Linked DNA regions of Caenorhabditis elegans. The protein of the gene in region 2 interacts with the protein of the main gene of each other region in a pairwise test. Each region holds a gene or a part of one and is shown on either strand. Other genes may lie near its edges. The genes, in order: skr-10, nhr-41, rbr-2 and thoc-2.

What was found.
Region 1: the proteins of nhr-41 (region 2) and skr-10 interact in a two-hybrid assay, tested with the Caenorhabditis elegans proteins (one large-scale study listed by BioGRID).
Region 3: the proteins of nhr-41 (region 2) and rbr-2 interact in a two-hybrid assay, tested with the Caenorhabditis elegans proteins (one large-scale study listed by BioGRID).
Region 4: the proteins of nhr-41 (region 2) and thoc-2 interact in a two-hybrid assay, tested with the Caenorhabditis elegans proteins (one large-scale study listed by BioGRID).

What each region holds. Positions count from the first base shown.
Region 1 is NC_003282.8:15,945,257-15,947,917, reverse strand, and holds skr-10 (Skp1-related protein), read right to left. Parts: upstream 1,112-2,661; coding exon 533-1,111; downstream 1-532.
Region 2 is NC_003282.8:1,384,271-1,389,218, reverse strand, and holds the start of nhr-41 (Nuclear Hormone Receptor family), read right to left. Parts: upstream 3,005-4,948; 5' UTR 2,931-3,004; coding exon 2,928-2,930; intron 1,377-2,927; coding exon 1,259-1,376; intron 1,206-1,258; coding exon 1,069-1,205; intron 1,004-1,068; exon of another isoform or gene 932-1,003; intron 612-931; coding exon 516-611; intron 1-515.
Region 3 is NC_003282.8:10,918,362-10,926,084, reverse strand, and holds the start of rbr-2 (Lysine-specific demethylase rbr-2), read right to left. Parts: upstream 6,016-7,723; 5' UTR 5,979-6,015; coding exon 5,835-5,978; intron 5,792-5,834; coding exon of another isoform or gene 5,785-5,791; coding exon 5,653-5,784; intron 5,394-5,652; coding exon 4,957-5,393; intron 4,729-4,956; coding exon 4,541-4,728; intron 4,492-4,540; coding exon 2,481-4,491; intron 2,318-2,480; coding exon 2,130-2,317; intron 2,084-2,129; coding exon 1,788-2,083; intron 1,357-1,787; coding exon 701-1,356; intron 656-700; coding exon 357-655; intron 1-356. UniProt on the Caenorhabditis elegans protein: Histone demethylase that specifically demethylates 'Lys-4' of histone H3, thereby playing a central role in histone code. Does not demethylate histone H3 'Lys-9', H3 'Lys-27', H3 'Lys-36', H3 'Lys-79' or H4 'Lys-20'.
Region 4 is NC_003281.10:6,366,196-6,374,079, forward strand, and holds thoc-2 (THO complex subunit 2), read left to right. Parts: upstream 1-1,846; 5' UTR 1,847-1,850; coding exon 1,851-1,946; intron 1,947-1,994; coding exon 1,995-2,126; intron 2,127-2,327; coding exon 2,328-2,419; intron 2,420-2,465; coding exon 2,466-2,685; intron 2,686-2,905; coding exon 2,906-3,088; intron 3,089-3,138; coding exon 3,139-3,291; intron 3,292-3,339; coding exon 3,340-3,844; intron 3,845-4,072; coding exon 4,073-4,474; intron 4,475-4,787; coding exon 4,788-5,607; intron 5,608-5,655; coding exon 5,656-5,764; intron 5,765-5,806; coding exon 5,807-5,945; intron 5,946-5,993; coding exon 5,994-6,853; intron 6,854-6,908; coding exon 6,909-7,289; intron 7,290-7,355; coding exon 7,356-7,577; 3' UTR 7,578-7,709; downstream 7,710-7,884. Other genes in the region: C56G2.15 (N-acetyltransferase domain-containing protein), read right to left, coding at 498-698, 899-1,136, 1,321-1,460, 1,553-1,627.

The DNA.
Region 1 (2,661 bases), about 15 Mb from region 2:
AAAGTAGAAAACCAGGACTAGGAAGCTTACTGGAGTTCTTGTTGCTAGGTAGTAAACGTTCCAACATAAAAATTGATATATGTGAATACATTTTTGAGCATCGCACAAAATTGCAAACTTTTCCGCAAAAGTGGCATGGTATTTTTGAATTTTTTGAATTAAAGTAACTAGATACGCGAGTTTTTTTTTGAATGCCCTTTCAACACTAGTTTATAAGGTTTAATTGTGACATTTTCAAACGTAATTGCTTTTGGTTAAATAAAAACTTACTGTTGCTTGTTTAGCCTCACTCTTAAAATCAACATATTGAAACAGTAGATGTTTTTTTTCAAAATTTCCAAATGTTTCAACAAGAAGATAGTCAAAGTGCATTCTGTGTTAGAACCTTGCTATGGAATATTTCATTTTAGGAATAACTCTTCAAAACAACACCTTGAAACTGTTAATAAAAATTTTGTGTAATGTTTGTCAACAAGATTACAGTCAAACTTATTTATTTGATAAGAAACACAAAACACTTGATACATAGAAATTATTTGGAAGTCGATGGTTCAGCTGCGTCCTTCTCAGCATTCGCCTTCTTCTCAGCTTCAGCCTTCTCCTTTGCAGCTCTCTCAGCAGCTTCATCCTCTTCATCAGTTGGAATTGCAAAGATGATTCTCAACTCATCAGGAGACTTTCCGATAGCCATCATGGCAACCATCTTGCATCCATAATTCATTAATCCAGGCACATCAAGGTAGTTGCAGGCAACAATCAAGTCGAAGAGCACTTCGTTGTCGATTTTCAAGAAGTTGGTATCCCATTCGGGAACAGTGATATGCTTTGGAACACTGTCATCATCAACTGGAAGTGCTTCTCCTTTGTGTTTCTCACACCATTCAATGACCATCTTCAGGATGTTTCCAGTGACATTTGTAATTGGAATTGGATCCATTGAAGCTACATCTTCTGGAGCACATGTAGAGATTAGATTGGAGAGTGTATTTGATTGTTTTACTGCTTCATCACTGATTTCGAAAACTGTTCCATCATTTGATTCAACTTTGTACATGATTGGAGCAGCAACTGGAGCTTCTTGGATTTCAACGGCAGCGACTTCAGCGGACATTGTTGGTAGTTTTAGAGTAGTTTCTGGAAAAATAATGGGTTGAAAAAATAAAGAAAGATGATTAAGTTAAGAAAATGTAGGAAAATCTGATTTCAAAAAGTAAAAAAAAGAACTGTATCTAACAGCTGTTATAATTTCGGGTAACAACGTTAGATAATAGTTTTGAAATGTGTATAGAAAGATAGAAAAAAATGTAGACGACTGCTCACAATGAGATATAAACGATAGAATGACTCTGCAGACAGACTATCCCTCAAAAAATGTTAGAAATCGATCGATTGGAACGCTGCGTTTGTTCAAAAAGTATTGATTAGTTTTCCACAGGGAGATGATGAGAAATGCCGTCAAGTTGAACGCGACGAGAAAAAGAAAATTTGACTGTTTCAACTGGTTGTTATACATTTGGATAAGATTTATATAGTATTGCATCTAAAGTTGATTGAAGAGTTATACACGCAAAATCAACAGCATGGAACGCTGCGTTTGTTCGAAAAATATCGATTTGTCTAAAAAGGTTTAATATCAACCGACAAGGTTGTTGAGGAGGCCCCTAATATTTTATCGATCAAAAAGTGGTCTGAAATAGTGTAAGCCTAAATTAATCCAAAGGGGTTTAAAGCAACAAATTTGACAAACTGGTTTACATATCCTCGATATGAATTTTACAAAAAAAAAGAAGAAAGCAAATCCCAATGCAATATTCGAATAAGGCTTGCGCTAAAATTTGATAACACCTCGAAATAGCAAAATTTAGAATTGATTTTAAATTTTTTTTGCAATATTGCGACATTTTCTCAAATTACATTTTAGGAGGTTTTTAGAAGATCAGAATATTTTTTAAGGTTATAGGTAATCGAATTTTAAAGTGATTTTTCGGTTTTATTAGTGGTACAACTTTAAGTAATTATCAAGTTTATTTCTCGATCGGGATTTGTTCAAAAATAGTTTATTATAAAAACTGCATCAAACAGGTATTATAGTTTTAGAGAGTTCAACATTTTTAATTGGACTAGAACTTTGAATGCTTAAAGTTTAAGGTTTTCAGACAAACAGATTCTGGGTCATTGATAAAACAAAAGAACGAAAAACCAAAAAAAAAAAAAATTTAAAAAGAAGGAAAAATAAAATGCAGCTGCCCAGGGTGAGAGCTAAATGCAAGAATGACCAATAGCCTAACTGGCTTCGGTTAAAAACGCTGGAAATGTAGGTCAAATTTTGACAGGATGAGATGAGACATTGTGTTATAGGCGAGGTTTAGAGAGAAAAGACCTTTGTTAGGGAAATCCTAGAGCAGGTGCACTGTCTGTTTTTCTAAACCTCCTAGAAATGCATTGAACTCTCTCTACCCAATATCAATAATTGACCTAGATTTGCAGCGTCCCAGTCGTTTTCTGGAAAAAAACAGTCTGCCTGATTGTGAGGAGTCATTTATACATTCTCTTCTCATTGTGAGTAGTCGCATTTTTTGTTCTTTCTTTTTTTCCATTTTTCAATGCATTCTATTTGTTTCTCCAATTTTTTATTCCATTTCCGACTTAATTCAATTTGGT
Region 2 (4,948 bases):
GCGGAGCTACAATTCGACCGGTGATCAAAACCTGTTTTTAGAGAGAGCGCGCGCGCTCGCGACACTGTCCTTGTAGTCCAAACTTTTGGAAAAAAGGGTATTGGAATATTAGGTATACGCAGAAAATTTAGTAAATGATTTGAAAAACTCCAAGTCCTAACCTAAAATTGTTTTAATTCTAGTTAAAATTTTGTGTTTTTTTAGGTTGAGGCATTGATTTTCATTGTTTTTCATGTCGAAATTCGGATTCTGCGTGCAATTTCCGTTAATTTGACCCCCATAATGACCGGATTCTAATTATTTTAAAATTTTTGAAAATGGATCGAAGTGGCGCAACTGGGTAGAGGTTGGGCTGTAGCGCACAAGACCGGGGTTCGAGCCCAAGTAAGGGAAAATGTTTTTCTCAAGGTTTGTTTGGATAGTTAAAGTGTGTTAAAATAAAAAGGAATCCTAGAAAATCGGAAAAATTGGAAAATTTTTTTGAAAAAAAGTTCTTTGAGCAACATTTTTTTTACCTGAACATTTCGAAGGGCATTTAGCTGTTGAATGATATTTGGCATCATTGGTGGACCGACAACTGACGGGTGTCCTAACAATGGGTTTCTGGTAGCCTGGAAATTCAAAAATTTAAGGGAGAATTTAACAAAAAAAAAACAAATTTTGGGGCAAAAGTTAAAAAATATTTTTGAAAACGAGATCAAACCTTTCATGATATTTTTTTGAGGGAAAAAAAAGGTTATCGAATGACCTTCCACACACATAGACACATAGTAATTTTTCATTAGGGTCGAGAATTTGAGAGATATTTCGTTTTTTTTTCGAAAAAAATTGGACATTCTTTTTGCCCCCGCCATATAACTTTTTCCGCTACAGTCAGCAGGCCCCTCCCGCACACTCTTCTCTAGGCACTCGAGACCTCCTCGTTTCGTCCTCCCATGTGGTCTAGTGGTTAGGATTCGTGGTTTTCACCCACGCGGCCCGGGTTCGATTCCCGGCATGGGAAGTTTATTTTTTTATTTTTGCACTGCCAGTTTTGCCGAATTCTCATTTTTGCAGAAAATAGTTTACCTGCATCATTGCCATCAACTGTGGGTTGCTGAATACGTTTAGTTGAGCCGCCATTATTGCCGGATTGAACAAATTCGGCTGAATACCAGGGATTGGTGTGTTCGCATGCTGTGGGGGTTGGAAAGCTGTTGGGGTGCCTGAACATATTTATATTTATTTTTTATTCGAAAAAAATTAATTAGAATATTACCTGGCGTTGAGGGAATTAGGTGAGATTCTTGTTTGATAGCGGTCGGAGCAATTAGGCTCCGTGAGAAATCGATGGGTGGAGGTGGGGGTTGCTCGACGGAGCAAGGGTCACCCAGCGTCTGGAATAAGAAAATTATAATTTTTCATAAACTTTCCAGTTAATTAGCCTGTTTAAGACAATTTTTCCAAACTTTAAATTCAGAGAATTTTTTTAAAAGATATTCATTGTCAAATTCGAATTCTCCATGAAATTTCCGTTAAGTTGACACCCATATTGACCAATTTACAAAAATTTTGAAATTTTTAGAAAAGTCAAAAAATTGGGTCCCAGTGGCTCAGCTGGTCAGAGGTTAGGCTGAGTCAGAAGGTCGAGGGTTCGAGCCCAGTTGTGGTTTTTATTTTTTACTATAACTGTTTTGATGGTTGAAACAGTTTTAGAGTGACAGGAATTTCATTTTAGAATTTTTTTTTCGTAAATCTTTTTTTAACTCCCATAATTTAGACTTTTACATGTTATTTTGTACAAGAAATCAAAATAAAAAGAAAATCCCTCCTACCGGACTAGAACCCCGGTCTTCTGCGTCATAGTCTAGACCAACAGATACCCGACTGAGCCACCGAGACCAAATTTAACTTATCGGAAATAGGGCAATATGGGGGTAAATTAACGGATTTTAGAGATTTTAGACGGAAGATTCGAATGTTTTAATAAAATAATTGAAAAATTGAAAAATTAGCCTTTAAAAATTTTTTAAACAATTGTCCCGAAAAAAAGTTTTTTTCAGAAATTGTTTTGTATTGTGCGGTAAATTGGTGTAGAATTTAACGTTGAATACATTTTAATTGAAATATTGGTACTTGTGTATTACATGCCCTCATTTTTATAGTAATTTTTTAAGTTGTGCAAAATAAAAACGTGAACCACACTTTTGGATTTTTAGGCTTAGGAAATAAAATTTCCTAACTAGGGAACCGTCAGAAGGTGCCCATCGGACTTGCATATGAAACCTGTGCCATTCGATAGCTGCGAATCTCCAGAACCAAGCTCACGGCGAGCTCTCAAATATCCTAAAATAGCACTGTAACGAAGCACTTTACGATCAAAACAAGCAATTTTCCTTATTCACTTTGGTAGCTCATATCTCTGCGGATAAATTTTTCAAAGAAAAGTCATCAACTGATAAATTGTTGAACTTTTTGTAAAGAACAAGTTTGTAGTTAAAAGTTTTTACCAAAAGTTTTTTGTTTTAGATAAAAGCATTAAAATCGCAATAGCAGCAGTTGCCGCACTTCATGCGCTTCTATCTGAAACAACAATTTTTTTGACAAAAACTTTCAACTACAAACTTGTTCTTTACAAAAATATCAACAACATATTAGTTGATGACTTTTCGGTAAAAAATTTATCCGCTGAGATATGAGCTACCAAAGTAAATTTGGAAAATTGGCCCTTCACTACTTCGTTAAAGTGCTATTTTCAGGATCTTTGAGAGCTCGCCGTGAGCTTGGTTTTGGAGATTCGCAGCTAAAAATTCACGAGTAACCGTTTAATTTAATTTAAAAATGAGGACATGTAATACACAAGTACCGAAATATTTTCGATTTGAGTGCTAGTTCTTCAGTAAAACCTAAAAAATGTACAAAAATGAACGTTTCCTCAGAAAACTCACCATATTAATCCAAGTTTGATGGGATGCTGAAGCTTGACTCTCAGCAAATATTAGCCCAGTTGATGACGTGGAATTTTCTAGAATAAGGGGACGATGTGGGTGATCAGAGCACTTTGGCAAAGTGTACATGAGTATACAGAAACAAGAGAGAATAATATAGTAGTACAGTGAGAGGTGTTTCAGACCGTTATTCCTGGAGACTCTCCCCCTTATCACCGCGCCGCCGGTCAGTCAGCCGCTGCTGACCAACTGGAAATATGTTTCAAGCGGTGTGGCGCGCGGCGTGGGAAATAGTGCGCGAAACCGGGAGAGTGCACACAGAGGTGAGTGACCGTGGGGGGCATTGTATGCTAATAGCAACGCGGAACGAATTTTGGGGGCGGGGGGAACTGTACTATGTGTTGCGGTTTTGGTATAACAAAGTTGCAAAAAAAAAGGTCACAACTTTTGAGGAAAACGAACATTTAAGTCTTTAGCATTTGGGTTTAAACGTTTTAAACCTAAAAATTCGAATTTTACAAAAAATTTCCGTCAATATGACCCCCATATTGACCTATTTCGGTAGTTTTTAAATTGTCAAAAATTTCGGAAAATGGGGCGAAGTGGCTCAATCGGGTAGAGGCTGGGTTATGGTGCAGAAGGTCAGGGGTTCGAGTCCCAGCTTGGTCATAAGTTTTTGTTGCAATTTTTTGAGTGACAAAAATACAAAATTTCGAGCTAGAAACTAGTTTTCAACACTTTCCATGTGTCGAGTAATTTTCGTTGAAAAAATTAAATTTTAGTAAATTAAACGTCAAATTCGAATTCTCCATTAAATTTCAACGTGACTCCCATATTGGCCTAATTAAGATAATTTTGAAATTTTTTAGAAATTTCGTGAAAATGTGTGCTGAACTGGGTACATGTTAGGCTATGGCGCAGAAGGTCAAGGGCTCGACCCCAACGTGCACCAGAACATTTTTGCACAGCTTAATTTAACATAGTTTCCCCTGTTTTAAAGTAATTTTGACATTACACACATTTTTTTCATTATTTTGGAAAAAATTTACAAAAATGTAACTCTCACAAATTTTGTCAAAAAAGTTACACTGATGGAGTAAAATTTTTTTCATCAAAATATGGAAAGTATAGAAAATCCTTGAAAAATCCCCAAAAATCATATCCCCCGCTACCGGGGGATAATCGGTGTTTAGCGGAGCCGTGAACTCAATCTGTTAAATAATTTTTTTCTTCTGTGCCGGCCGGGGCGGATTTTCTTTTTTCATTTTCATTAAGATAATTTATAGGTGAGCGGCTTTGTTGCTTAAGTATTAGCTGTGAGGATTTGTTGTTAATTTTTTTTTGGAAATTTTTTTCGACAATATTTACCCATTTCATATGATCAAAAATGTACCGGAAAAAAAATTTGGGACCGGCTGGGGTCGAACCCTGGTGTCGAGATTCACAGCCAAACCTGTTAGCCACTGAGCCATCGCGGCGAAAATTGAAAATTTCCGGTTTTTTGGGCCAAAAATTTCACATACAGGGTTCAACCTAGTTTCCAACTCGAGATTCTTTTCTTGTTAGATGGAAAAAGTCTCACAAAAATATTCACCTACAGCGGGGATTGAACCCCTGTCTTCCGCGCGTCAGCCCAACCTCTACCCAGCGAAGCCACCGCGACCTATTTTTCAAACTTATAGGAAATGGCTCAATATGGGGGCCAATTTGACTAGAATTTTGATGAAGAATTCGAGTTTTTATATTAAGAAGTTCTTAGTAGAGTTTCAAAGATTTTTTTCGGTAAAAAACTATTGAAAACTTCCTGAAAAATCATTTTCAGAAATTTTCAGAAAATATTTTAGAACTATAAATTATGTATAAAAACAAGTAGCTTTCAACAAATCTTCTCGAAGCTCTGACTTTGTTGAAATAGCTCCTCTTCGGATCCGCTTATCGATGTTCTGATCCGCTATCAAGTGGCGGAAAAATAGGAGTTGATACCTGGTTTTAGTGTCATTATGAATATCTAATCGGTTTTT
Region 3 (7,723 bases), 9.5 Mb from region 2:
CAAATACGCAAAATTGAACAAATATGGTAGCCGGTCTCGACACGGCAATTTTTTTTACTTGCAAAAAAGTTGTGTGCCTTTAAAGAGTAAATAAAAACGCGGAAGTTTTTAAAATTTTTTAAAGTTTTACGACAATGAAATCCCACAGAAACGAGAGTTGGTAACTACAGTATACTTTTTGAAGGCGCACACCCGTTTGTGTTTCACAAAAATTGTCGTGTCGAGACCGGGTACCGTATTTTTGGCACAAAGTTTTTTTTTGAGATCAGGTCTGTCACAAAACAAAGGTTCGTTTTTTTTTCTCCTTACAATTAAATTTTTTTTCCAAAAAACCACAAAACCCGATCTTAATTTACCTCTCAGAGTGAATCCAAGACAAATCACATGGAACCAGTTTTTGCAGCCTGCTTCACACATCACCCAGTTCACTGAGTCTCCATATGGCTTCAAACAGGCGCGAGCTTGACACGACTTGAATTCAGACTCGTCTTCGTAATATTCACTGGGTGATGCTTGACTTTGACGTTTGCGTGATTTTTTCGACGTCTCTTTGTGTGAAACACTTGGCCTTTTGCGTTTAGCTGTGATTTTTGGATCGAAGAGTGATACCGATGGTTTTGAACGAACCGGGCGATTTTTGAGTTCTAGTGCGGCGCTGAAAAAATTAAAAATAAAATTAATACATATAATGTGTACAAACCTTGACTGTTTTTGAAGATATTCCATATAAAATTCTGAAATCAGCTCGCGTGCCTTCGGAAGACCATTGGGATTCAGAATTTCACACGATAGCCAATCGAATAAGGCAATTTTACAAATATCGTCGCTGGATTCTCCTGATTTCCGTTTATTAGCAGCTTCCATCAAATTTTGAGTGATTCCACGAGTTTTTTGTATTAGATTTCGAACAAGATGTGTTTCCAAACATCCAGAAGGTGTTCCATTCAGAGCAGTTGTTACATCATCAATGACTGGACGTTGTCCCCGTAGACATCGAACACATAAAAAGCATCCTTCTGGAAGTTTTTCAAGGAACGGTGACCACTCGCAACATCGAACATGAAACTCTGAATCGCACATTATGCATGTCAGTGTTGATTCGGAATCATCTGATTTGTTGAATCCAAGACATGAGCATGCTTCAAGACCACGAGCTGAATTTGCTTGTTTCACCTTTTCAAAAATTCTCATTTGCATTTCACGTAGCGATGATTGATGATGCACAATTTGATCTAATGACTCGAATTCTTTCATTTGATGCCATTCATCAGATGGATGTACTGCGCCTCCTTGAAAATATAATGGTATCGTTTGTCCTTCAGCAAGTGGAGTTAAATCATCGCGTTCGGAGAGAATCTGGAAAATTCAAGTTTAAGGCAAATTAGATCGAAGCTAATGTCTATGCTACTTCCTGATTGGATTAATGTTACCCAAATATACGGTCACCGGTCTCGACACGAAATTTTTTCGTTTAATTTAAAAAGGTGCGCGCCTTTAAAGATACTGTAATTTCAAATTTTTGGTTCTGCGAAATTTTCCTTGATTTTTCTTTTTTTTTCTTAGTATTTGTCTCATGTTTTTAATTATTTCAACATAGTTTTTTATTAAATAAATAAATTTATAACGAAAACTATGAAAAATCTATGAAAATTCCGCAGTAACGAAATTATGAAGCTACAGTAATCTTTAAAGGCGCACATTCGTTTGTATTTAACTAAAATTGTCGTGTCGAGACCGGGTACCGTATTTTTTGCGAAAAATCGTCAAATTTCACGAATCTCACTCACTTCAAAAAGATTGTGATACGCATTATTTGGCTTGAACAGAATAGCTATCCTCTGAGTAAATGCATTCATTGTGCTGATCATATCCAAAATCCCGAGATGCTCTTCGGAACCGTTTAGACATTTTGAAGTTTCGAATGCTTTACTGATTTCGGCCGCCTTCGATAGTGTAATTTCAACATTGACAATTTTCTGCAGTTGTGTTTTTAAATCAAATTCTGATAGCACGGGAATTGCGGCATCTATCATTGACTTGATTTTGGCAACATGAATGATCTCATAGCGAACCATGTTAATATCTTAAAAATTATTTTGTAAGAATTACTAATGCATTAAATAACAAACATTTTTCATAGAACCAATCAGTTTCTCTAAGGCTTTGCCAAATTGATTGAAGCTGATCAAGTGCTGGATTCTCACAGAAATTGTTTGCAATGACCTCGAGTGTATTGGCGTCACGGAGCATTTGTTGAAGTTCAAAGACGAGTTTAGAAGTACCATCTGTGGGATTTCGTGGACTATCACGAATCAATCTGAAACATATAATTGAATTTTTGAATTAAAGGGGTATAGAGTATTTGGAAATATTTTTAAGGTCTCATCATGAAATTCGGTCGTTTTGGGCCGAGCCCATTCGAGGAAAAATCCACAAACACAAATTTCCTTTTAAGAGAAAAAATATTTTTAAAATCTTACGATAAAATATCACTGGATGCATATCGAAGCTTATACTCAAAATCAATATCTTTCTCCATATCGGGAGTTGCCTTCCATGTAGTAACTTTTCTTGCTCTATCCGACCAATCCTTCATTTGAATAACTTTTCGCAACTCATCGATTTCTTCCAATTTAATATCATATTCATCTCCCTCTTCAATAATCTTCTCGATTTCTTCTTTTGAGTATTCTTGTTCTCGATAGATAGCATCTTTTGCTCTGTTTCTCCACATTTCAACTTGTTCCATCCATTTCTCAAGTTTATCAATAATAACAGTCAAATTGCAATCCATGGCTTGCATTTGTTCAATCAATGACCGTACTCCCTCGGTGTCTGTACGAGTGTCGGCTCTCTGACATCGGGTTTTTGTTCGCGTTCGTACTTTCTTAAAGAGCAATTGATTTGCTTTTTCAATGGCACTCTTGGCTGTATGACGAATTGTTATCAATTTATGAACTTGATCTGTCTGTGGATACTTGTTTTGTTTGGCAGAATCTATAAACTCTTCAATTCTCTCGAGTTTTGGTTTTCCTTCTTCTTCAAGCATCTCATCCGACTCTTCTTTCCATCCATTGTAGTTAACCGTACGCTTTCCAAGTTCATCACACATATTGTTCAATTGATCCAACTCGAATCTGTACTGATATCTGTAGTCTTTCGTTGTACACGAATTGCAAAGATGATCATGATGTTCAACACAAGTCATTTTCTTGTGTTTGTTACAAACCAATGCACACATGAAGAGAGTCGTCTTACAAAAACGACACGATCTTTGTTCATCTGGAATCTTTTCGAACATCACTTGCTGCATTTGGCGATTGGAAACTCCGAGGCGAGCGAGAAGTTCTCTCAACATTTTTTGTTTTTCATATATTCTTATCAGTTCTTCATGTGTTGCTAAACTCATCGAAATTCCAAGTTTATCCATTGCTTCAACCATTTTAAAGAGAAGCTCATCATGAGAAAATACAAGATATCTTCGTACATTTGAGTAAGACTCAACGCATTCTCGACCTTTTGATAGCCAATCAATTGGAGCGAAATTGACAGCTTCCGCAAAGTTGAGTCCCTCATTGAAACCAGCATGATAAGCACGTGGGAATGTAATGACGAATTCACCAGCATTCTGGTGAACTGAATGAATTGGAACTCCCAATGAACGAAGAAGATGAGGATTTGCAGCTGTAGTCATATGATGGAATAGATCTCTTTGTCTTCCAGTTAATCCAGGTGCTATTTTCTTCAATGCATCTTCAAACTTTTCAGCATCTTCTCCACCAACACCGTACCAAATTTTCCGTTCTCCAAAATGATTATAGTTAACAGAATACGTCCAATGATCTTCGGTGTGCCAGCAGAACGTCGAGAAGCACATACCAACATAGACCCACGGTACCATCATTCCAGAAATTCCAGTATTAAAATGTGAGAGAACAGATTCTCGAAGTACAGGCATATTGTTCAGATTCCATGCATGTGAAGCGTATTGCTGCTTCAGCTTCAGATCTGGGCCAGTGTGCTTATCTTCTTTTCGAGGAAATCCACTTCCTACTCGACTCGTAATCAAGTCGGCACCGTATTTGACAGAAACTGGATTTTCGTGTGAAATTACATTCTTCCAGAATGATCGTTCCACAGCATCACACGACACTTGTGATACATCTTTTACACCGAAATAATCACATTTCCATTTGTTGGCAAATTCAGTGAATGAGTTCAGATTGTATTCTGTGTCCGCATCATAAAATCCCCAGTCTAATCCGATTTTTGCATCCTCTGATTCAATGCACTTTGGACATCTCCACTCGCCTTCTGGTACTTCATCGAGTACTGGATCACAACAATATGTATGACGACCATTATTGCATCCATCAATATCGCAAAGAAGTAGTAGATCTTCATCCTTTCCTTCATTACAAGCAACGCAGAATACTTGATCCATTGGATCTTCATCATCATCATCGTCTCCTTCGGCTTTCTTCTTATTTTCTGTAATTTGTGAAAATAAATTTAAAAAATTTAAATTTAAAAAACGAACTTCTTCCTCTGGTTGAATTCTTCTTTGAAGATGTTCCAAGAGTCTTTCTTGAAGATGAAGCCTTCTTATTTTTAGATCTCCGTCGACCACTTTGCATCGACACTGGACACTCATCTTCCCCTCCTTCAGTAGTTTTATCATTTGGAACTTCTATTTCTGTCCGCATAGTTCCGTGGTGATGTTGATATCTATGAAATTCATTCGTTTTTAATTAGAATAATGGGGGAAATTATTAATAACAAAATTAAAAATTTTACTATTTATCGGTTTTAACATTTTTTCATGGTTCTAAAAAACAAAAACATGGGTACATAAGAAAAATTTAAAATGCATATAATTTCAAAAAAATCCATCTACATTATGTTTTCTTAACTGATTTGTAGATTTTTATTTATTTAAATTTCTTAATTACTCACTTATGCTTTAATTCTTCCATTTCATCATCACTTTCATCATCATTTTTCATCGCTTTTTCTTTCAAATTTCGATTAAATGGTTCAATGTGCAAATTATAATGTGATCGAATCAAATTTATGAAAGCCGACGGAACACCGCGAGCCATTTGCTCCTTTGGAAGGTATTCGCGGGCAACGTCTCTCCATTTTTCATCTTCATTCACTTCTTCACATCCTCCAAAGTTTTGAACTATACGATGTAATCGATACAAATCGACAATATTTCCATCTCGATCCACTGGAAACTCAAAAGTTAGACCAGAATATCGATTGAAATTGATTAATCGGTCAATAAATGTGTGTTTCTCTTTGACAATTGCCTCCACTTCATTCAGTTTTTGAGTTCGGGGACGAAATGTAAAGGCTTCTTTGTCGATAGCAAACGGTGGTTTGAAATTCTGCAAAAAAAGAGAGTTGATGCTTCTCGATTCGTTTTTTGAGGGAAAAATCAAAAATTTTCAGATAAAATTGCACTTTTCAAGTGGTGACCATTCTTTTAGTAAACTGAAAATTTTCTAATATTTAGTATTTAATTGAAGGGAGTAGTAGAAGTTTTTAAACTACTACAAACATTGTTTCGCTTTTTTTCAGACTTTTCAAAAACGATTAAAAACTTGTTAAACGTCAGACGTACAATTTTCCGAATAAATAACTTACCGCCGGCGGAACAATTTTAACAACTCCAAATTTTTCGGCCTCGTGTCGTATTTTGGCAACATACTCGATTGGATCTGAGAACTCTTCTTCTGTCGGGTAGTAAATTGGAGCCATTGGAGGTCGTACGAATTTCTGAAAACTATGAAAGCTTATTCACCTTATGTATGTCTTAGTAATCAAACCTTATAGAATTGATCGTACATTTCCATTTTGCTTCCATGATTCTTAGATCTTGAATTTCCGATGGATGCTTTCTTCCGCGGAGAAGTGCTCGTCGACGGTGCTGACGGCGTCGAGATACTGTTCTCTTGACGACGTGCACGCATTTTTCAGTTTGGCTTATAGCTTCATGAGATCTGTAAATTTCATTTTTGTTTGACTTTAATATTAATTGAAATTAAAAGCTTTGAGAAGAAGAACATTTTAAGTACCGACGAGAAATTTCCATGTGATGAAACAAGATGCATCACGAGTGTTATGATAGACGTCATAGAAACCCGGAAATGAAAATTAGCTTATACTCCTTTAAAATTGGCTTTTAAGCTTTTTCTTATTAAGCTTTTGATTTGAACTTAATATTGTATAAATAATTAAGCTGAAAAATGACTCATATTTAAATATATATATTTCTCCAATTTTTGAGGTCGAGCAGCTTTTCAAAGTTTAGACAAGGATCTTTGGTAGAGTTTTAAATGTAGGTCAAGACACGTAAGGCATCGTATAGTAACTCAAATCATTGAAAACTCCATCTCTCTGAATCTTTTTGATGTGTCACCTAAAATGCATTGAGAGACTGGTATTCTTTGACCACTTTGCAGTAGGTCGGTGTCCTTTTCGTCAGAAATTGCGTGCGGTAAAGATAAGCGGAGAAACAGAAAAAAATATAGATAAAATCGAAAAACCGAGAGGAAATAGCCCCCAGCGCCCACCAGGGTCGGCCCACGAAAATCGAGGAAAGTGCGCTCCGCCGAACATTACTCTCGAGTGTCCACTCTCGTCGTCTTGTCACTCCTCTGTTTGCATGCTATTCGCTAGCAATAATCTCTCGGTCTCCTGCCCAATCACACTTTATTCATGTTATGTGCGCGACGCGTTCTCGCATGTGCCTCCTAGTAATACGTGAATTTTTGCACTAACTTTTTTTTGAGGCCAGCAGCTGAGGAAAGATGGGCGCACACAAAGAAAACGAAGAGAAAGCAGGAAGACGCATGTAAAATGAACACAGACTGAGAGAAAAAGAGAACATGGAATTATGGCTCCGAGAGCCAGCATTTTTAATTGAAGATTTGAGACTGTGTTTGTTTACTACGGTTTTAAAGGGAGGCGTATCAATGCGGAATGGTCTCGCCACGCACTGCGAACTCATGAAAAAATTGGCGTGTGCGCCTTTAAGATGACTGTAGAGATTTTTCTGGCATGTCTAATTACATAAAATACAGAAAATTGGGAAAAGAACAATCGAAAATGAAGAAAAGGGAGAAACGAGAAAATTGGAGATTTGCCAGCAAACCCTCTACAGTAATCTTAAAGGCGCACATACCAGATTTCTGAAAAAAAAATCGCAGAGCGTGGCGAGACCATTCCGCATAAACTCGCCACTTTAAAATCATAGAAGTTGTAAAAAGTACACAGTAATATGTAGAAACTGATTTCGCCGAATTGTGAATCTCCATAGTTTCTAAGGAATGTGAATATTATTTTTCAAAACTAAATCAAACTCATTAAAAAGTTATTATGCGCCCGTTTTGAAATAAACGATGGTTGCGCGCGAGAGAATGAGAAGACATAGATTATAACTGCAAAAGCAGAATCAGCTGTCTGCGTGTGAAGAAGCTGATTAAAAACGAAAGGGCGAAAAAGACTTGTTTCACACGACTACACACATTCTTACGACAAATAGACGAAACGGAGGGAGAATCAGAAGTTTATGACCGAACGCTGAAGACGTGTAATCACAGACGTGGTTAGAAAGTGAGGCTGAACGCGGAACTTAAAGCGAAAATGTGTAACATATTGAACAGTGCACGATTTTCAGATGTTCAGAGCATTCGTTTGACAGTTAACAATTTTT
Region 4 (7,884 bases), on a different chromosome or scaffold from region 2:
AATGGCTGTTTTGTACCTACTGTTGTTTTCCCAATCTGAACCGTTTTCGCAATAGGCGACCCATTATTTTTTCTATCAACTCGTTTTTATTTTTGTTAGCTTCATCATCGTTTTTATCCACTATCTCCCATGCCTCCTCTCCCCACAACAAACACAGATCGTCTAGTAGCCTTTCTTCTCTCATTTAGGTAATTTCTTTTTATTCTTTTTTGGTTTTGAGCCCCATTTCCCTTTGAGCCCCGTCAGACCATTTTACCAGGTTCTTCTACCTTTCATATCCCCTCATCTCCACCTATCACCCCCATCTCTATCCCATTTTTTATTTCTTTTTTTCTGTAATTCCCCCTTCACTCGTTGTTGTTTTTAAGAAAACACACCCACGCCCTCTCATTCAATTATTTTATTCTTGTAATTCTTAAAATTACTTTACATTATGCGGAAAATCAATAAAAAGTAGAAATTCTTATTTCATATTTGCGTATTCTTTTCTCAATATATTATTCAGTTGGTTTTAACCATTTTCTCATGTACTGGTGATCAATCGTGTTGACGTCCACAATCGGGGACGTGGATCTGGTGACCATTTTTGGAGCCATCGGAGGCGGTGGTGGTGGTGGTGGAGCAGAAGCTGAGACTGTTGACGAGGCTGAAGGCTGTGCGATCTTTGATAGGAAGGACGGGTTGGATGCGGCCGCGTTCTGAAATTAACATGATATAAATTATAGAAAAATCTGAATAATTGTGCATTTTCTACTAAGGAATTCAATTTTTCTAGACTGAATCTGAAGATGGATCTCCAAAATTTCCGAACTAAATCAGATTGATCTGAGTATAGTTTTGTGAATTTTCAAGAAACATGATTTTTTAGTATTTCTGAAAACTTCAAAAGCCTATTTACCTGAAAATGATTCATGGCTGGAAAGATGCAAGTGGCTGTTGTCGAGTGTACAATCGGATCGCATTTCTCATAACCAAGAGATTCATAAAATCGACATTGATCATCAGTTGAGAGATATGCTTCATTGAAACCTTTTTCCGTCATCCATTTTTCTGTGGATTTCATTAAGAATTTCCCGAGTCCAAGGCCACGTTGATCCTTCTTGATCATCACTGACTCAATCCATAAGGCATGGTCACTGAAAATTAACAAATTTTGGGAGAATGGTTTGAGAATTATGATAGCTTCCTTTATTTTCAGGCTAAAATTTTTTAACTTTTTAAATATTTTTTCCTGAAATTTTAGTGAGTTATCAAATTTTCTAATTGTTGAAATATAATCCGAAAGTTTCAAATTTTTATTGTTTTATTCCAATTACTCACCGATTTGGAAGATGTGTGATTCTTGAGTGGCCTAGTATCTCGTCATTCTCCTTATTGAGCAACAAAAACGACATTGGAGGGGACTGACGGCATGATTTTTTCTGTGAATGCTCACGAGATCCATCGCTTCTGGGCCATTCCTGGAATTAGAAAAGTTCAAAATTATGAATATAGCTATTTATTTTACCAAAGAAAAAATACATTTAGAAAACCACTCTAGAATACAACTCACCGAATTCAAAAATGTCATACTCTCCTTCAAAAGATCCTGCCTATCATAAAGCGTAACAAAAAATAAGTCCGGCATCCTAATACCCGATAATTGGTTATGTTTCTGAGCTCAGATGCCCTCATCACACTCGATGGCCTAGAAATCTCAACTCTAGATTTCCCGTCCACGCGTTCTCACTCTTGTTTGCCTCGGCTGGCAAAGTGCCAACTCGCTTTAAAAAGTTTAATTTTTGAAATCTCATATTTCCTTTTAATGTTCTTTTTTTAGTTTCTGATTGAATTATTATAATTACAGAGAAATGAACGATTTCGAAACATTAACCCAGTTATGTCTCGATATTGTTCACATGAAAATCACACCGATGAAGGCTTATGAAAGGATACTCACAGAGAAGGTTTCGTTCATTTAAAATCTTGAACAAATTAGAAATCATTAATTTCAGAAAGATCGAGATGCCATCAGTTCGGAGCTGATCGACGTGTTAGTGCTCACCGAGCCGGAGAGCGAGTTCGCTGACAACGCGAGCACTTCCAAAGAGAATTTTGAATCCTTTGTGAATCTACTCACTAACACGGTAATAAAACTTTCAACTTTTAAAGCTCAAGGTTCAAAAAAGGCTTATTTATATGGAAGATAGTATTATTGGCGGAAAATAAAATTAACCTGTAGTTTCAGGATTGAAAAAAACTAATATTCTAACTTAATCCAAAATTGTTTAACAAAGAAATGAGATTTTAACTGGAAATTTCCTGTAAAAATACCAAATTTTTTTCAGATAATCCCCGAAGAAATCCTCCGCCTCGAGCTGGATTGTTTCAAAAAAGATGATCACAGCAAGGCACTAATTAGGTTGAAAACAAAAGTCTAGTAAGTTAAATTCATTCAATTTCTGCAAAAACTCATTTTTCTTCAGTTTCAAACAGGCCAAATTCAACTTATTTCGAGAAGAGTCTGAAGGTTACTCAAAACTTGTCACAGAGCTTATGGAAGCAGCCGAGAGCTCAGCGAATGAGAATGAACATGCGAAGATTCTGAAGCATCGAGTACTTTCATTAATTGGACAGTTCAATTTGGATCCAAATCGTGTCACTGACGTTATATTGGAAGTTTTCGAGAATTTCCCGAGGCAGAAGGTAAAATAAAGAATCTGCATAAATTCATGATGTTTTGGTGGTCAACCATGATGTGGGCGGAGCTTATTTGAAAGTTCAACAATAGAGAAAAATTGGAATTTATAACTTTTCCGTTTATCCTTTACAAATAAAACAATTGGAAATTCAAATGATGAGATTAAGAAATCTTGAAACGAATCCAGCTCATTTGTATTTTAAAAATATTTATTTTTAATTTCAGCTCCTTTTCATTGCACTTCTCAAAGAAATTGACGTGGTCCGTGACTATCTGTGTGCACTTCTGGGCTTCAAATTCACATTCTATCAATCGGATAAAAAGAAGAAAACGCCATATTCGTTGTACGTTCTGACAGCTTCGCTCATTCAACATGAAATGATCGATATGATGAAGATTTTAGGATATGTGAGGAGTCCCGTTTTAAATTATTCGAAATTATTAATTAATATTTATAGATGATTCCAAAAGCCGAAGCAATTAAAGAAGGGCACCGTTCAAGAATGCAGAATGCACAAGAAAGAGCATCAAAAGCAGAAACAATTTCTACAGCTTCAATGCCAATTATGGATTCAAGAGGTTTCGATGAAAATGGAATAGGTGGAAATGCGGTTAGGTCGGAAAATTGAATATTTATCTAATTTTTAAAAACATTTCAGACAACGCAAACGATTTCCTTCACTACAGTAATCCAACTTCAAGAAGACGAGGATATAAAATTATCTGAAGGGTTTAATGAGGAATATGTTCTCTCATCAAATCAGAAGCTTGGTTTAACGTGTGCATTATTAGAAAGTGGAAACTGGAAACAAGCTCAAATGCTCATTGATCGTCTCCCAGAATACTATGCAGTTCAAGCTAGTCCACGACTCTGTAGAGCTCTTTGCAAAATAATTGAGAAATCAATTAACGATTTTTACAAGAAAAATTGTTCGCTGAACTTGTTTGGAGATTTGATAAAATCGACGAAACCAGTGTTAGATGATATGGGAAATGGATTAAGACCAATCGAAAGTTGGGAAGATCTTGGAAAATTGTCAAGTGTACTTGCCTATTTGGGACCTAGAATAGCCTTTCGTGCTTCAACAAATATCAAAATTGTTCGACTTTTGACTGCCTACTACCGAAAAGTTGACAAGGATCTGCTACCGAAGGATGATAAACGTAGGTTTTTTTCAAATGTGAAATTTTGCGATTTTCGCCCCGATATTAAGGTTAACAAAACATTTTGAAAAAACGATAAAAACTAGGAAAAATTAGTTCGTATCTACAGAACTCCTTGTACTTTTGTACTTTTTTAAAATTTATGTAAATCTGTCACTTCGAGATCGAGCACCGTATTTTTGAAGAAAAAAAAACAACCATTTTCAAAATTAAATATCATTATTTCAGTAAATCAAAATTTCGTGGAAGTCGTCTCCGAATGTCTTCTACCATCTCTCACACTGTCCGAAACAAATGTTGCACTTAGTGAAGAGATTTGGCAGCTCCTTGAGCTTTTCCCGTATTCTTGGAGATATTGGATGTATTCAAAATGGAATCTTGAAACTTCAAGACATCCAGAAATGCATATAATGAAGGGGAAAATTCATGGACGAACAAAATATGTTCTGAAGCGTCTTTCGAAGGAAACTGTAAAGATGATGGGCAGACAATTGGGAAAATTGTGTCATATACATCCATCTACAGTACTCTCATATCTCCTCAGTCAAGTGCAAACTTTTGATAATTTCATTGGACCTGTTGTGGATAGTTTGAGATATTTGACAAGTCTTGAATTTGATGTTCTCACTTGTAAGTTTTCAAACAAAATTTAAAACAATTTTTTTTAGAAAACGAGAAAAAACGTCCAAAAAATTATTTTGTTAAAACCACGAAAACTGAAAGGTTTTGTAAATTTCGAACGTTTTTTTTTGAGAAATTTTAAGATTTTAACATATAAATTCATAAAAAAATTTTATGGAAAAATTGATACATTTTAAATTTTTGAGTCTTTCAGTTAGCTATGTGAAAAAATTCTCGTTTTTTTCATTCACTTGTAAACAAGTCAAACTTTTTCAAATCTATTTTAAATATTTCTCATTTGAAGGTTTTCCATTTATTCCAGATTGCATCATCTCCCAATTGGCTGATCCATCGAAACAAGCTCTCAAATCCACTGATGCTACCATCTCTCCTTGGCTGCAAGCTCTTGGAACACTGGTTGGATCTCTCTATCGAAGATATCCACTCGAACTGAACGGAATGCTAGACTATGTGCTAAATCAATTGAAACTTTGCAAAAGTTACGATATGCTTCTTCTTCGAGAAATTATCCAGAATATGTCATGGATCGAGAGTATCAGTGGAGCAACGAAAGAACAAATTGAAGCACTTGGAGGTGGAGACTTGTTGAAACAGGAAGCTGGTGGATATTCAACGGCAACAAAGAATAGAAAAGCTGCTCAACGTCTACGTGATGCACTTCTGAAAGGAGATTTGGCTGTTGGATTGGCAATTTCAGTTGCTCAACAAAAAGAGCATATTGTCTACAATGAAAGCTCTACTCTTCCATTGAAACTTGTTGGAAAAATGGTTGATCAGTGTAGTGACACATTTCAACAACTCGTTTCATTTTTGAGTGTTTATCTGAAAAATGATGATTTTTCGAAACGAGTTCCAACTGTTCGTGAATTGTTATCTGATTATTCACTTGGAATGGAAGCCACAATGTGTCTGGCGAGACCTATTTTCTTCTCAAGAATATCAGATCACTATGATGCGGCTAAAAAAATCTCGAAAGCTGCTGTTGAAGATGGACAAAAGACTCGTTTGGATACACAGCAAAAGACTGAAATGTTTACAAGTGCGTTGGAATCACAAGTGGAAATGTTAATGGATGAGCTGAAAGCATCTGAACCTGGCATGGAGGAGAATATACCTGTGAAGTGAGTTTTTATCAAATTTTCGCCCAGTTTGCTAAATTTTTCTTTCAGATTCTTCGCTGTTTTCTGGATGCTGACAATGTATGATATCGAAGTTCCGACAGCTGCATATGAACGGACACTTGATGCTTTAAAGAAACAGTCAAGAGAAGACAGTCATGTTAGTTTTCATCTATAAATAATCTACTATTTTTTATTTCAGGGAAAAGCTAAGAAAACTGATAAACAGTTGGAGAGTAAGCTTCGAGAAGAGCAGAAGAGGCAAATTGAGCACGTGGAACGTTGTAAAGTATGGCTTCTGAACAAGAAAGACTCGTTGATTGATGAGCAATTCCATAATTGTAAGTTTATGCATGAAATCCGCTTTAATACTTTTCCAATATTTCCAGCTGTATTGGAAGCTCTCATTCAACAATGCCTCCTGCCACGTGCCATATTCTCCGAACTTGATGCAGTGTTCTGTGGTCAATTCTTCATGATGCTTCACGAAATGCGGACTCCATTCTTCCCATCGGTTCTGATCATTGACAGACTCTTCGAGAACATAATTCCTCTGATCGCGGGGCTCACCGAGAACGAAGCCAACTCGCTGGCATGCTTCTTTGAAATTCTGCTCTGCACTGTTCAAAGATGGCACTCGGAGAAAGAAGTTTTCGAGAAGGAATGTGCAGGATTTCCAGGAATGATCACAAAACAAGCAATTGAATATCAAACTTTCCGAAAGTTATGCTATAGATGGCAAATTCGATTTACTGCCATGTTTAAGACAGTCTTCACAAAAGATGATGCTGACTATGTACTTATCAGAAATTCATTGATTATGATGACAAAGTTGACATCTGGATTTCCAGTCATATCACATGCAGTCGCCACAATGGAAACAGCTGTAACCAAGTTGAAGGATCGAGAGAAGGGAAAACGTGACGATCTATCATTAAAAGCAGCCTCGTATGTTGGAAAGCTCAAGATGAGAACTGTGAAGATTTATGCTCAAAATTCGGATTACGCCCCAGTTCCCAACAAGAAGGTGTCGGTCGGTGCTGAAAAACCAAAGAAAAAAGAAAAAGTGGTAGATGAGAAAGATAAAGCTGATGGGGAACCAGTTGATAAGAAGATTAAAGTAGATTCGAAGAAAAATGGGACGACGAGTTCGGAGAAAGTGGTGAAAGATGATGAAGTACATCAGAATGGAAGTGAAACAGAGAAGAAAGCTACAGTAGATAACAAAGAGAGAAAGAAGCGACCTGGAGTGAGTACATAAATTATTAAAATTCACAGAACTGAACTAACTATTATAATTTTAGAAATCATCCCACGGATCAAAAGAATCAAAGAAAGAGCCAACAACTGAAGATGGTGAAGTGAAGACTCCAAGTCCCCCTCCTGCAAAGAAGACTCGAATTGTTGATCGCTTAAAACGGTCTGATGAACCTTCAAAGAAAGATGAGAAAGAATCTCCGAAGGACACAGAATCTGAAAAAGGAGAAGGTAAGAAAAGAAGAGAACGATCGAAAGACAAAGAAACAGGAAAAGAGAAACGGTTGGAGAAGGATAATAAGGAACGAGAAAAGGATAAGGAAAGGAAGCGAGAAAATGGAGAAAACCAGAAAGAACAAAAGATTCTCAAAGATCAGAAGCAAAAAAGCAAGCCGTCCGATGAGAAGCTTGAAGTGGCAGGACCCGCGGTAAGATATTAACGTTTTCTCAAGCTATTTTCAAAATTTTCCTTTCGAAAATGTGATTTATTTCAGCTTCCCGACCCAGTTCCCAAGAAAGATGACAAGAAAGGCTCTCGAAAAGCGATTGAGTTTGATCTAGAGGAGCCTTCAAAATCAACATCGTCCTCTCGAAAAGATCGCAAAGATGATCGAAAAGAAAAAAAAGAAGAACTTCCAAAGGCATCAAGAATAGCAGAGCCTGCACGTGATGCTGGAAAGAGTGGAAGAGATCGTGGGCATCGAACATTTAGATGAGCTCTCACCACATATCCCCAGATTTTCATTATTGTATCTCAGTTTATGTTGTCTACGAGGTTTTCTATTGTATCCTGATGGATTATTAAATATTCGTTTTATTTTTTGTTAGCATTAAATCTAAAGACATTGGATCGTTGAACTTCTTGGAATGTGAAAGCAATGGAAGTATTTCGAATATAGAATGCTTGCTCGAAGAGTCAATCCAAAAGTCGAAGATCAAGTGCTAAATGTGAGCAAAAGACAACGTCAAATTTCCGAACGACTTCCAATCTATGGGAACAGCCCTTTACTTGAATTTACTGGT